3 linked regions of the Saccharomyces cerevisiae S288C genome follow. The protein of the gene in region 3 interacts with the protein of the main gene of each other region in a biochemical or structural test. Each region holds a gene or a part of one and is shown on either strand. Other genes may lie near its edges.

Evidence for each region. Proteins that work in one complex are often made in the same cells at the same time.
Region 1: the proteins of PKH2 (region 3) and RDS2 form a complex in vitro, tested with the Saccharomyces cerevisiae proteins (one large-scale study listed by BioGRID).
Region 2: the proteins of PKH2 (region 3) and ARA2 form a complex in vitro, tested with the Saccharomyces cerevisiae proteins (one large-scale study listed by BioGRID).

The regions. Positions count from the first base shown.
Region 1 is NC_001148.4:299,388-302,761, forward strand, and holds RDS2 (gluconeogenesis transcription factor RDS2), read right to left. Parts: upstream 1,842-3,374; coding exon 501-1,841; downstream 1-500. Other genes in the region: ODC1 (mitochondrial 2-oxodicarboxylate carrier), read right to left, coding at 1-116; COX11 (Cox11p), read left to right, coding at 2,329-3,231. UniProt on the Saccharomyces cerevisiae protein: Transcription factor which regulates the expression of genes for gluconeogenesis, the TCA cycle, and glucose metabolism. Involved in the cell wall remodeling process and drug resistance.
Region 2 is NC_001145.3:350,466-353,476, reverse strand, and holds ARA2 (D-arabinose 1-dehydrogenase (NAD(P)(+)) ARA2), read left to right. Parts: upstream 1-1,503; coding exon 1,504-2,511; downstream 2,512-3,011. Other genes in the region: ARG80 (Arg80p), read right to left, coding at 341-874; YET2 (Yet2p), read right to left, coding at 2,614-3,011.
Region 3 is NC_001147.6:127,690-137,041, forward strand, and holds PKH2 (serine/threonine protein kinase PKH2), read left to right. Parts: upstream 1-1,547; coding exon 1,548-4,793; downstream 4,794-9,352. Other genes in the region: IZH4 (Izh4p), read right to left, coding at 1-231; SDD3 (Sdd3p), read right to left, coding at 5,036-8,149; YOL097W-A (uncharacterized protein), read left to right, coding at 8,531-8,716; tryptophan--tRNA ligase WRS1, read right to left, coding at 8,838-9,352. UniProt on the Saccharomyces cerevisiae protein: Serine/threonine-protein kinase which is part sphingolipid-mediated signaling pathway that is required for the internalization step of endocytosis by regulating eisosome assembly and organization, and modulating the organization of the plasma membrane.

The DNA.
Region 1 (3,374 bases), on a different chromosome or scaffold from region 3:
ATTCTTGTCTTCACCACGTCCAATGGATACATCACCAATAGCTCCGAGACGCCGGCAATGGCACCGGCTGTGAACTGGTATATGAACGGCAAAGGTCTATTATCTATAGATGTCATCTTACAGTTCTTTTTCTTTCACCCTCGTTACAGTTCTATCTTGAGAATAAATGAGATAAAGGTTCCCAAAAGTCACTGATATATATCAACGGCGGTCACCCTCACAGAAATACCCGAGAATCTGCCCTTCGCCAAATCAGATTCAGCCAGTTCGCAGTTTTTTTCCCTATCTCTGGTCGCCGCATTATGAAAAGATCCTGGGGTAATAATGGGAATGATTTGAAAAAAAACAAATGCTGGTAGAAAAAGGTCTTCGTATTGCTCGTAGTAATACGGCTATTTCAAGTAACTGCTCGGGCCAGCGGCTTGAGGAAAAAGTAAACCCGTTACTTTGCTTTTTAATGACGCTGGAAATACCAATTACCTACTATGTATTACTTATGCTTATGACAAAGGGATGAAATTCCCGACGATGCAAATTGGGATGTTGTACCTATCCCTTCTGATAGTGAAACTAAAACAGCATGGCCGTTTGCGGATTCCATCTTTGGTTCGAAGACTACAACTTGTTAAAACAGCCTTCTGACCCTTATCAAACGCTATGGACCCGTATTTTTCCCAGAAATTCACAGCGCTTTCTTCTGTCATCAACTCGTAGATCGCAAGCTTTCCATCGCGTAAATCATCGACTGTGCAGTCAACCAGTGAAGCAAACTCTTTATTGGCTCTGTAAATCTCACCGGTACGCCTACACAAGCACGCTGGCATGCTCATAGAGGTGAAAACACGATCATAAGATAATAACATCCTCTCGAAGCTCTCCTCCACTAAAACTAAGTCAACATCCTTCAATGAACGCGCAATGGTTCTAAACGCCGGTCTAATGGTGGATAGTGGTTTCAGAATCCTTTGCTTGGAAGACTGATTCATATATTTGTCCATGTAGTCTTGTAGTCTTGCATACCCCTTGGCATAATTATACGGCTTCAATAATCCTGCTTCAAGCTTCGCATTTATGACCAACTTCAGCCGGTGTTCTGGTGTCATCTCTGTTGACGGATCCGCCGCTGTTAAAAAGAATTGTTCCTTCGGTGTCGGTGCACTGTTTTCGTTTGCATTCGCTAGAATTCGAGACTCTTCCTTTTCTTGATCTTGTTTATCCCCTTTCGAGATACTATTGGAAGAACCTGACATAATAGTAGGCGACCTATTTTCTTGTCTTGCCACTCCTATTTCATCCCTACGATTGTCGTTTTGGTACTCTAATGGCGATTGTGTGGTTTGTGAGCCATTTTCCAAATGAACATTGCTCGCACTGCTGGAACTTAGTGATGTTTGAGTCAATAGAGGATTTTCTAGCATAGAAAGAAATTCATTCAAAGAACTGAATTCCGAACCAACATTCTCGGACACAAATACAGGTTGTTGCGGAAGCAGCAAGCTGGTTGTATCATTTACAAGAGAGGAGTCTAGTTTCGGTGACAGTTCCTCTCCATATGTGGATCCACTTTTATTGACTGGTTCATTCTGATAGTCAGACGGAATTCCAGTGTGTGCTTTATTTGCATATTTGCCCTGTATATTATTATCATTCGGAGAACTTTCGTGCTGTGATGGCATCTCATTTGGAACCGCAATATCATCTTCCCTGCATAAATGGGCAATATCCCTCTTGACGCACCTAGAACATGGACGTTGCTTATCACATACAACATGTGACCGTTTACAAAATAAACATGTTTTAAAAGCCTTACTGGCTCGTTTTACACCACTGTTTGCTGACATTATTTCGTCAGTTTATATAAATATGTGTATTTTGTGTTGATTAAAATTAAAAAAAACTTTATCTCACTGGCAAAGAACTCCCGCAAATTTTCTCATAAGAATTACTTTCTTCTTCCATCCCAGAGACCTCATCCTTTTTTCTAATATTCAACTATTTTTCATTTTCCTTCGTACTCTTTGTTTTGCTTTTTCTTGTTTTCTGCCATTCCAAAACATTATTCTCCCCATCTAAGGAGCGGATCTGTAGGAAAAACAGCGTAACCATTGGAAAACCCTTTCCCTAACCAATGCCCTTTGACGGATGAAACATGATATATCTTTTAAGGACATAGATACTAACCAATACAAATCAAAGAACAGTGAAGAGTCTAAAGGGGCAGCGAACGCTTAAGTATCTTCTTTAAAGTAATAATATTCCTGTCGCAGGTGAAATAGCACTTCAGCGCACAAACAAATAATATTGCAGCCAAAATTCCCTAATATTGTCATGATAAGAATATGTCCCATTGTTAGATCTAAGGTTCCACTGTTAGGAACTTTTCTTAGATCCGACTCATGGTTGGCACCTCATGCGCTAGCTCTAAGGCGGGCCATATGCAAAAACGTTGCATTGAGAAGTTATTCAGTGAACAGCGAACAACCAAAACATACATTTGATATTTCAAAACTTACTAGAAATGAAATCCAGCAATTGCGAGAGTTGAAAAGAGCAAGGGAGAGAAAATTTAAAGATCGTACGGTTGCATTTTATTTCAGCAGCGTCGCGGTACTTTTCTTGGGTTTGGCATATGCAGCGGTACCACTCTATAGAGCCATTTGTGCTCGTACTGGTTTTGGTGGGATTCCCATAACAGATAGAAGAAAATTTACCGACGATAAACTCATTCCTGTAGATACTGAGAAGAGAATTCGTATCTCATTCACCAGTGAAGTATCACAAATTTTACCGTGGAAATTCGTTCCTCAACAACGTGAGGTTTACGTTCTGCCTGGTGAAACAGCCCTCGCTTTTTATAAAGCCAAGAATTACAGCGATAAAGATATTATTGGTATGGCTACTTATAGCATAGCGCCTGGTGAAGCAGCTCAATACTTTAATAAAATCCAATGTTTTTGCTTTGAAGAACAAAAGCTAGCTGCCGGTGAAGAAATAGATATGCCTGTCTTCTTTTTTATCGATCCAGATTTTGCTAGCGATCCAGCGATGCGAAATATCGATGATATTATTTTACATTACACATTCTTCAGAGCTCATTATGGTGATGGTACAGCTGTAAGTGACTCTAAAAAGGAGCCTGAGATGAATGCAGATGAAAAAGCAGCGTCATTGGCTAATGCTGCTATTTTATCCCCAGAAGTTATAGACACAAGGAAAGACAACTCAAATTAATTGTAAATACAAAGTCATTCAATGTACATAAATACTGTTATGCTTTTGAATTAAGTAAAACACCATGACTTCATATTGAGATGTTTTAAGCATATAATCACGGCACCGAACTTCTTGTAATCATCAAATCTTTGTTTTCTAGC
Region 2 (3,011 bases), on a different chromosome or scaffold from region 3:
CAGACAAGGCAAATTGAAGTAAGGTAAAGAAAAAAGCAGAGATTCCAGTACAGTACGCCCTAGCTTTTTGGTAAGTATTTGGAGATGACCTTGTTTGGCACAGCTTAATATAGGACAACAGGTGCTGAACAGAAAGGGAAATTTCCTGCGGCCCAGCGCAAAAGTGCCTCTTTTGAGAAAAATTACTCAAAGGGGGACACTCCGGTATGTTCCGAGCCGCGTGCCGAAGGAGGGCAACTCCTTGTGCAACCCCCTTTGGCAGCAATGCTACTTTATATGCGCGTATTGTGCTATATGGATCTGCCTATGCCTTCGTGGGGCATCTCTTACTCTCGCATGTTCAGTTTGCCGGAGATTGTTCCTGTGCCGGCGACGTGTCGGTAGCGTCAGGAGTGTCTGAAGCATTGATGCATGCCCTGATGAGGCTCTTACCCTCGTCTTCCCGTACCACCGGCTCGAGCTTAGGCGTTGTGAAAGTGTAGACCAGGCCAGAGTTTGCCAGAATTAGAAGCAGAATATTGGCGCCGGTTAGGACGGAGAGCTCATATGCTTTTTTCATGATCCCGTGCCGCCTCTTCGAGAAGGTGACATGTCTCCGGGTCTTATTCTCGATGTACCTGATCGGCTGCTTCCGCCTCGTAACCGTACTTGTGTCGCTGCTGTCCTTAGTTTTCGTTATGGTTGGGGTGGGAGTTGATGTGCTCACGCTGAATTTGTCATCATCGTCTTCTTCGTCGAAATCGCCTTCTTGATCTTGTTCTGGCGATGGCGTTGAAAGCCGCCGTATTGGTTTGGTAGGTTCATTAGTTTCAACATCGCCGGTAATTGGTTTCTCAACTGGACTGGTACTTGAACCGTCGCTATTCGACGTCATATTTAGCAATATTCTTTAGAGAGTGTATGTAACTAATGTGGGAAAAAAAATGGCGCAGGAAAATCGCATAGCTACTTGCTAGGAGTAAGTAGAACTACGTGCCTTTCCATAGCGGTTCACCTGAATCATCAAATTTTTTTCACTTACCGTCTAATAATGGATGACCCACCCGCTTCTGTGATGCTGCTCATCACCAAAAGAGGAAAACGAATGAAAAGTAAAAAAAAATTAATGCGAATTCTGTGGATCGAACACAGGACCTCCAGATAACTTGACCGAAGTATTTCTTCAGTCTGGCGCTCTCCCAACTGAGCTAAATCCGCTTATATTCATATATTAGTTGCGCTCTGGGATGCGAGCCCATTCTCATGGAAATACATGAAATTGCTTACCAAATTCTCTGAAGAAGAGGGGTGTCTTATGGATAAGTGAGGATAAGAAAGAAAGTGTCATATAACTTAGCATTGTGCATATGTAGTCGATTTTTTTGTCATTATTTTACTTTCTGGAAAAAAGAAAGCTGCCTTCTGGGTTTCAGTACACGGTAAGTTTAAAGCCTATATTTATCTACTCTGTTAACAGGAAGGAAGAGTACACATAAATAAAAGAGTAACAACGGAGACTATAAGATGGTTAATGAAAAAGTGAATCCATTCGACTTAGCTTCGGTTTCTCCTTTAGTCTTAGGAGGTGCAATACTGAACCAGCAATATACAGATGAGCCAGAATCCATTCCACTGGAAGACATAATCAAATACGCATTTTCGCATGGTATCAATGCAATTGACACTTCTCCCTACTATGGCCCTAGTGAGGTTCTTTATGGTAGGGCACTGTCCAATTTAAGGAATGAATTTCCCAGAGACACTTATTTTATATGCACAAAGGTTGGGCGTATTGGTGCGGAAGAGTTTAACTATTCTAGAGATTTCGTGAGATTTAGTGTTCACAGATCGTGCGAAAGATTACACACTACATATCTCGATTTGGTGTACTTGCACGATGTCGAGTTTGTCAAATTTCCAGACATCTTAGAGGCATTAAAGGAATTGAGGACCTTGAAGAACAAAGGAGTTATCAAAAATTTTGGCATATCAGGCTACCCAATCGACTTTATCACCTGGCTTGCTGAGTACTGCTCTACCGAGGAAAGTGATATTGGGTCATTGGATGCAGTATTGTCCTATTGTAACTTGAACTTACAAAACAATAAGCTATTGAACTTTCGAGAAAGACTGCTACGCAATGCTAAACTGAAAATGGTTTGCAACGCATCAATCTTGAGCATGTCGCTACTAAGGTCACAGGAGACAAGACAGTTTCACCCGTGTTCTCATGAATTGAGAGAATGCGCATCTCAGGCTGCCAAATACTGTCAAGAACAAAATGTCGACTTAGCCGATTTGGCCACAAGATACGCGATTTCGGAATGGGTAGGAAAGGGACCCGTTGTTCTTGGAGTCAGTAGCATGGAAGAATTGAAACTTGCTCTGGATAATTACGAAATTGTGAAATCGAATGGCAACAGATTATCTTCTAAGGACGGACAACTAGTAGAATATATCCAAAAGAATATTTTTAAAGAACATTTTAATGAAGAGTGGTCTTCAGGTATTCCTCATCCAGAAATGATATAATCACCCCAAAAAGAAAAAAAATTTGTCAAATTTTAGTTTATATTCATTTGTTCTATTTACATATGTAAGTTTTTCCTTTTCTTCTTTTTTAGTTTTTTCCTTTTAAAATTTCTTCTTCTGCAATTCCTCTAAATATTTTTGCTTTCGTCTTAACTTTTCCTTCAGAATGTCATCTCCAGCCTTCATTTTGTCATTCCATTCCACTATTCTTCGCAATATACTCATCACGGTGAGTATACATATATAAAAGTAGATGATGAAGCCTGAAATGTAAACATTCCTTTGGTTATATGCCCTTGAAGCCAGTGCATCCACTGGGGTTACACTATTTATTATATAGGGATTTTTCTGGTTGCGGTACGTAGACACTCTGATCTGTGACCTTTTCCATGAATCGATGAACAAAAGACCAACGAAGATCATGATTCCAACCATATAAGTTCTGAATTTCTTATTAGTACTTATGATACTGTAGCGTATATACAGCCACCTTCTCATAC
Region 3 (9,352 bases):
TGACAGCATCGAACCCAAGAGATATATTAGTGCTACTAGTGACTCGTTCCTACTGGATTTATTTTTGTACTGTTTCTGCAATTTTGCCAAGTCATGGAATGGAAAACCCTTCTTTGTTTCTTTTGTCTCTGCATTCTCGTTCGAATCTGTCCCCCTAGTATCATTGCTCTCTTTCTCAGTGGTTGTCTCGCATTTGACTGGGCTTTGCTCTATTGTAGTCAATGAAACCATACTGTCAATATATATGTACCTTTATACCAATATTATATGCGCTGACAAGAACTTTAAGAAATTAATTTCCTTTTCTACTTTTTTTCATTTTTATTTTACTTCTGCGTCCATATATCCGGACCATATATATGAGTGTAAATCATTTAGCTGTTGACACCATTGAGTATTTACAATTAAAACCAATTGAGCTCAACAGGCTTGCGTTGAATAATGTTGAGCTGCCCAACGAGCCCTTTTCTCGCGGAGTGCTGTCCGAATTGTCCGAGTTTTTATACGGACAGAACTATCGCTTCTTTGAAGTATATATAAGAATAGACCGGCTGTTCACCCCGTATCCTCCTTTTCTATCTCTTGGCTTGCTATGTTTCAATGTCAGCCTTTGCTTTTATGTGCCCTTGCATACACGTGAATATGTCTATTTTATGTAAACTATAACAGCTGGTACTGCCCGTACATATGCTTAAATTAAATAGCTATTGACGAAGGCCCATTTTCTCGTAGAATATCAGGGTAACATATGGAATAATCATTTTTCTCTGTCTATAAGTAGTAAGACTATTGCTTCTGATCCTTCTGTCAATCGCCTGTCTCCAGTTTTATTTCTTGTCACCTAGAGAAACATACGCTGGAGTTCCCTGTACTATCAAAAGTTGTTTCGGTCCCGCCATTTCCGACTAGCTCTATAGCTAATGGTTGAGACTCAAATAGTTCTGTAGCAATGGAAGCTGATGTACCCCAAATACGAAAAGTCTAAGGCTCAAAAATATATGGTGGGCCCATATATGCCTAGAATAAGGTATGAAACATGACAGATGGTTAACGATCGACTCGACACATTGTTGATGGAATAATTGGTCCCTAGTTAAACAGCGGAGAAATAGCCGCCCAGGATAATCGGAGAAAAGTCACGTGCAAAAAGAAATCATATTCGACGAAATAAACTAGAATAACTTTTGACGTTTAGCAATAATAACCCCAAATGGAAGCGAACATTTCCCGATCCTTTTAGTTTTCTTTAAGGCGCTATTGGCATTCATCTTCAAAGCTTCCGCAACACAGAAATTATATATTCACATTTCTGAGGCAGAGAATAGTTTTGACAACGAAACTGTTAATATTTTTACTCCAGTTACCGCCTTTGAAGTCTGATATTGGTGTACAAAGGTACTTAGGGGTATTTAAGAACAAGAAACTACATAAAATAGTTCGAAAAGGGAAAACAAAAGTAACATCTTGATGAACCGAGAAGCCACTAACTAGTTTTTAAAAAGCAAAAGAAATTAAATCTCTCCTTTTTTTTTTTTCATTTCAACCAAATGTATTTTGATAAGGATAATTCCATGAGCCCTAGGCCGTTATTGCCAAGTGATGAGCAGAAGCTAAACATTAATCTTCTAACGAAAAAGGAGAAATTCTCGCATTTAGACCCCCATTATGACGCAAAAGCCACTCCACAAAGAAGCACTTCGAATAGAAACGTTGGCGATTTACTTTTGGAAAAAAGAACCGCTAAGCCTATGATTCAAAAGGCCTTGACGAATACGGATAATTTCATTGAAATGTACCATAATCAGCAGAGAAAAAATCTTGATGATGACACTATTAAAGAAGTAATGATTAATGATGAAAACGGAAAAACTGTCGCTAGTACCAACGACGGCAGATATGACAACGATTACGATAATAACGATATTAATGACCAAAAAACTTTGGATAATATAGCGGGAAGTCCCCACATGGAAAAAAATCGAAACAAAGTAAAGATTGAACATGACTCTTCATCTCAAAAACCAATAGCTAAAGAGTCATCCAAAGCCCAAAAAAATATAATCAAAAAGGGAATCAAGGACTTTAAATTTGGTAGTGTAATAGGTGATGGCGCGTATTCTACTGTAATGTTAGCGACGTCGATTGATACCAAAAAGAGGTACGCCGCAAAAGTACTAAACAAAGAATATTTAATACGCCAGAAGAAAGTCAAATACGTCAGCATAGAAAAAACCGCCCTTCAAAAGCTCAATAATTCTCCTAGTGTTGTGCGATTATTTTCCACTTTTCAGGATGAATCAAGCCTATACTTTCTCTTAGAGTATGCCCCCAATGGGGACTTTCTTTCTTTAATGAAAAAATACGGTTCATTAGACGAAACCTGCGCACGATATTATGCTGCGCAAATAATAGATGCCATAGACTACTTACATTCCAACGGTATTATTCATAGAGATATAAAACCAGAAAATATTCTTTTAGATGGAGAAATGAAGATCAAACTGACTGATTTTGGTACTGCGAAGTTACTGAATCCTACAAATAATAGCGTTTCGAAACCAGAATACGATTTATCAACAAGGTCGAAATCTTTCGTTGGAACTGCAGAATACGTATCTCCAGAACTTTTAAATGACAGTTTTACAGACTATCGTTGCGATATTTGGGCCTTCGGATGTATACTTTTCCAGATGATTGCCGGAAAACCACCATTCAAAGCTACCAATGAATACTTGACTTTCCAAAAGGTAATGAAAGTTCAGTACGCCTTTACACCAGGTTTCCCACTTATTATCAGAGATTTGGTTAAGAAAATCTTAGTAAAAAACTTAGACCGAAGATTGACGATAAGCCAAATTAAGGAACATCATTTTTTCAAAGATTTGAATTTTAAAGACGGCTCTGTTTGGTCAAAAACGCCTCCAGAGATCAAACCATATAAAATCAACGCCAAATCCATGCAGGCAATGCCAAGCGGAAGCGATAGAAAACTGGTGAAGAAATCAGTCAACACACTTGGCAAATCGCATCTAGTGACTCAAAGGTCAGCTTCAAGTCCCTCTGTTGAGGAAACTACTCATTCAACCCTATACAATAACAATACTCACGCTTCTACTGAAAGTGAAATATCAATAAAGAAGAGACCCACTGATGAAAGAACAGCGCAGATACTTGAAAATGCAAGAAAGGGTATAAACAATAGGAAAAATCAACCAGGCAAGAGAACACCAAGTGGTGCAGCTTCTGCTGCCCTAGCAGCTTCTGCTGCTTTAACCAAGAAAACCATGCAAAGCTATCCAACTTCTAGTTCGAAAAGTAGCAGGTCAAGCTCTCCTGCGACAACATCAAGACCAGGAACTTATAAGCGTACTTCTTCTACAGAAAGTAAACCATTTGCCAAATCTCCACCTTTGTCAGCATCAGTTTTATCGTCAAAAGTCCCAATGCCTCCATACACACCTCCAATGTCGCCCCCTATGACACCATATGATACATATCAAATGACACCTCCCTATACGACAAAACAGCAGGATTATTCTGATACCGCAATTGCCGCACCTAAGCCTTGTATTAGTAAGCAAAATGTTAAAAATAGCACAGATTCTCCCTTGATGAACAAGCAAGATATTCAATGGTCCTTTTACCTGAAAAACATCAACGAACATGTACTAAGGACGGAAAAACTGGATTTTGTTACCACAAATTACGATATCTTAGAGAAGAAAATGCTTAAACTAAATGGTTCATTGTTAGATCCTCAACTGTTTGGTAAGCCTAGACATACTTTTTTATCCCAAGTAGCTAGGAGTGGGGGAGAGGTTACAGGTTTTCGAAATGATCCAACTATGACTGCTTATTCCAAAACAGAAGATACGTACTATTCGAAAAATATTATCGATTTGCAGCTCTTGGAAGATGATTATCGAATTGAAGGAGGTGACTTATCGGAGTTGCTTACTAACAGAAGCGGAGAAGGGTACAAATGCAATCAAAACAGCTCACCAATGAAAGACGATGATAAATCCGAATCTAACAATAAAGGAAGCTCTGTTTTTTCTGGCAAGATTAAAAAATTATTTCACCCTACCTCAGCAGCTGAAACGCTCTCTTCCTCTGATGAAAAAACCAAGTACTATAAACGAACCATTGTAATGACATCATTTGGAAGGTTTCTAGTATTTGCCAAGAGGAGGCAGCCAAATCCAGTTACAAATTTAAAGTATGAACTAGAATATGACATAAATTTGCGTCAACAGGGTACCAAAATAAAAGAACTAATCATTCCCTTGGAAATGGGAACTAATCATATAGTTGTGATTCAGACACCTTACAAGTCATTTCTTTTGAGCACTGATAAAAAAACCACGAGCAAATTGTTTACTGTTCTCAAAAAAATTCTTAATTCGAATACAAATAAAATAGAGAAAGAACTGTTGCAAAGAAACCAAAAGGTAATTGAAAGAAGAACATCATCATCCGGAAGAGCCATACCTAAAGATCTTCCAACTTCCAAGTCTCCTTCGCCAAAACCCAGGACGCATAGCCAATCTCCATCAATTTCAAAGCACAATTCGTTTTCTGAATCGATTAATAGCGCTAAGAGCAACAGATCAAGCAGAATTTTTGAAACCTTTATCAATGCCAAGGAACAAAATTCAAAAAAACACGCTGCTCCAGTACCGTTAACCAGTAAATTAGTTAACGGATTGCCAAAAAGACAAGTTACCGTGGGATTAGGTCTAAACACAGGAACAAATTTCAAAAACTCATCTGCAAAATCGAAGAGGTCGTAATTAGTAATTTTATCTAATGTTTTCATCAAGCTACTTAAATACTCTAAAAATAAATATATGAGGAATTTCAAGTACTCATATAAATATAATAATAATTCTCGATCAATCAAATGAAAGAGCGCCGTAAGGCAGAATCCCAGAATTCGAAAAGAATGAGACAATGCTCCTTTTGCTATTTATTGAATGCAGATAATACGCACTGTTTCTGTGTTGAAAGTGAAGCTGAAATGGAGGTCATGTACTCACGCATTTTCGTCTTCTTCACTATCAATTTCGTCATCGTCATCTTCTAGCTCTTCTATTTCGACAGTGAAACCTTGAGTTTCAAAGAATTCTTGAACTGATTCCAATTTAGCTGGATGACAGCTCACAAAGGCAACGCTTTTATTGGAATCAAACATGTTGACAAAATATTTCTGCATGGCATTTTTCAGATCTGTTTTGGTAACATTCTGCAACCTTTCCAAATACAATTCATTGAAGTTGTTCCCCCTTTGCAAACAGAATTCATCAACATATTTGGACAGGGCTGTTTCAAAGTATCCGCATTCGATAGTAGCCAGCCTGTTAATAATACTACTGATGGCACCTTGGATTAACTGCTCATCAAATTCCAAGGCACCTGATGCATAATCTTGAACAATCTGTTTTCCAACTTCATAACATTTAATAATATCAGCGCCGCGGTAAATATTGAATCCCCAAGAATTTATCTCACATAATTTTAACATGCTGGCACCATAGGCCAATCCGGCACCACGGATTCCCTTCCAAAATGGACCTTCAACACATTCTAGATATTCGGAAGCCAATGAGACAATAGCGTATTCGGGATCATGGTAGTCCAAGTTAAATGGGATAGACGTTATTAGATTCATATAAGCAGATTCTGAGGCGGGAGTAGTTATTATAAAGGCCTTTTCACCAGGTGTTCTGCAAATCGATGAAATGGTATCTAGGGCTCTTGGAACTGGTGGAATTTTTAACTTCTCAACTGGATGTGCAATGTTCAAGCACTTAATTAAGGGATTCCATGGTTCATAAACGTCATCGATCTTTGAGATGTCACCAAGAACCAAAATATGAAACTTGTTGAAATTTGCTCTCAGTTGCTTTCTCATTGTTTCTATTCTTGGCAAAATTTCTTTCTCAAAGTTGCCATTCTCAATTTCTGCAAAAATCTCTTGTAATTTTGCTTCAACAAATAATGGATCGGTGGATTTTTTCAGCGATCTTGCCGAATAGAGATTTCTGTTAGTTAAAGAACTTAACATAACATTACCATTTCTTTTCCATTCTACAATAGAATTCAAATAATTCTCCAGCAGAATACGAACACGATTTTCATCAAAAACCATGTCAAATAGGCAGTGCTTGATCCATTGAACAGAGTTAGAGTAACCCCCAGCTCTACATTGAATTTTAAAATTAATAAGGTCAGGACAAGAACCCTTCAAACCTTGGTTGATCTGTGCGTCAATAGTTTCTGATTTTAACTTGGCGACAACTTCCTCAAACGAGAGCATAGTTTCTACATTACTCTCCTCATCAAGGATTTTCATTGGCATGGAAAATAGCTCGTCAAACATATTAAAATATGGTAAAAGCGAGGTATCCTTAATAGATGCGGAGTTGACCAAAAAATGCAGCTCTATAAATTGAGACGGGAAATGATTTAAGTGAATGAAAAGAGGAAAATTGTCTGGCCTCGTTTCTAAAATTTTTTTGGTCAGCGGATCACTAACATTATTGTATTTATACGAATCGACAGTTGCAATGCTTTTCGTGTTGACAAATTCAACACTCTTTGAAGGATTATCAATCTCAAATTTCTGTAGTAGAGATTTCGGAATTGGCCTATCATTAATATTTTTTGCATTGTTCAATCTTTTCAATAAAACCAGTTTCTTTTCATCATCAAATTCAGCTTCTCTTTGTTTGATCAAATCCGATTTTTCTTTCTCTAGTTGTTCATACATCAAAGCGCTTGGTTTAGCGGTAACTATGATAGGTTTGTTGTCTACGAATATTCTGTTCAGCAAAGATTGCCAGTCCTTTTGGGACCATTGTAATAAAGCATCAAAATCACTTAAATCCTTGAGAGAAGACACTAATGAAGAACCATCTTCATTACCATAAATATAGTCGGTAATCACAGCACTAGAAAAACGACTCTCGCCATTTTTTTCATAGTTCAGCAAATATTCCCATTTAGTATTTTCAACTACCTGTCTAACTCTTGATAAATCAATGGTATGGGTTTTCAAAATCTCCAGTACCTTGGTCTTTGTTGCTGCTATTTTTTCTGTTGGGACACCTTGGATACGAAGATCAATTATGGTTCTCATGAAATAATCAGTGCAACAATCAGTGGAATTTGCCATGGGATCGTCAATTTCAACCAGTTCTCTTGTAAACACTGCCAATGCAGAGTCAGTAAAGTAATCTAATAGCACATCAACCGCTAGGTCATTACGAAAATCTGAGTAGGGAACACCAATCCAAGAAAAGAGTAATTCACCCTGACTTTCATCAAGTTCAGGAAATTCTACAGTAGATTCCGTAACTTTATCTCTAGATTGCGGTATGTGCGAAAGCTTGTTGTCCAAAAATGGTCTTTTCTTTGGTATATTCGATGGAATCTCCGGCAATTTGTTATCCCATTCTTCCATGACGGTTAACAGTTCATCTGTTGGTACGTTACCACAAACAATGACACAAAGATTATCAGAAGAATACAGAGATTTGTGAAATTGTCTGATTTCGTCGTTGGTTAAGGTTCTTAAATTTTTCGTTAGCCCACCAGTTTCTGACCGATAGCCACTTCCTTCAGGAAACATTAATCGCTGCTTTTCTAACCCTGAAATGTACCAGCCCTGAGTTTCAATGGCTTCCATTTCACTAAATACCACACCTTTATCACCCAAATTTTCCGGGTCGATGTGATAAACCTCAGTTAAACAAGCCTCGTCTGTTAAAGTTGGATGTAGGATGTGATCTAGATAAGCAGGTAGCAACTTTGAGAATCCCTTCCAGCCAGCACTGCTTAATGTATAAACAGTTTGGTCGGTATCAGTCCAAGCATTGGTGTTAGACAAAGACAGATTACCAGCTGTGTCTAATAAACCTTTGTATGGGTAAGATTTAGAACCCATGAAGATCAAATGCTCCAAGGTATGCGGAGCACCTGAATCATTAAGACATTCTGTAGGAACAGCAAAGTAACCGTGAACCAATGGGGAGGTTTTGTGGTTTATATGTACCAGTTGCAGTTTAGTTCGTTCCGAGATATATTTAGTTATATGGTATTGTGGGACATAATCCGGTTGGAATGATACGAGCTTCTTGAACCCCATTGTGAAGATTCGACGAACTGTGTTGAAAGTGCGTATAATTGGTCTTCGTGCCGTTTTTTGGGTCACTTTCAACTTTTCAGCGAGTAGTTTCTCTCACTATATCTTACGCTCTGTTAAAATCTTTTGCCACTACTTCAAAATTACGATCTATGGGATGAAAAATTTACATGAATTTACCAATACTCGGAAAAATGCAGGACAAGAAATAAGAACATTTGTATAATACAAGAGACGCATATACACATACCTACTCAGATAAGTTTAACGAGTTTCTCTTCCATAGGAGGGTCTAATCTCCTTCAGAAGTCTAACGTCTAAAAGTTCGTAAAGAATATCATCATAAAGTATGGTATACAAAATTTACTGTGCAACAACAGCACAATGCAGTCCATGATCTGCTCATCTGAGCACGAAAACCTAACCTGCAAGTACTGGCCTGTTAGCTTCCTCGCTTCTTGGTGTGAGAATGGGTCTGGCACACTGATGCAGAAAGATGGTAGTCTTTTATATGCCGTGAAAAATTTTTCCCATATATTTGAAAAAAAAATTTTTCATACCAATCTATAGAAATAGTGAGGTCAGGAGACATCGCAACACTATTGTTCTATTGCATTATTTTTTTAGTGTTAAACTACAATTTCGGATTCTATATCATTGTATATAATAGCGTCAGAATAAGCGTGACTACTTACTTCTTTTCTTGCTTAGTTTTTGGCTTAGGTGCGACAAGTCTTTCCTTTTCGCCCCAAACCAACTTATGTGGGACCATGAATTTGTCCAAGGTCTCTTCGTCCACCTGAGCTCTGCGTTCCTGGAACGCCTTAACGAATTCTTGCAGAGTCTCGATACACAGTTTCTTCATTTCACCTGATAGTAATTCACCGGACTTATATTTGTCATAGCATTCCTTCAAGAAAACATCGTCATCCTTGAAAAATGACAAGTATTGGTATGCAACATCGACATCGGGATTACCACCTAATTCTCTATGTAGGTCGGCGGACACTTGACCACCGCTGAATGCGTACTTGTTAATTTTCTTTTGAATTTGCTTTGGTGTATCGGTCATGAAAATGGCAGTGGTATCATCAGAGGCTGACATTTTGGTCGTGGAACCTTGCAAAGCTGGAAAGAATCTGGAATGAAGCAAAGCAGGTTTGGAGTACTTCAATTTATCCGCGACATCCCTACAAACTCTGAAAT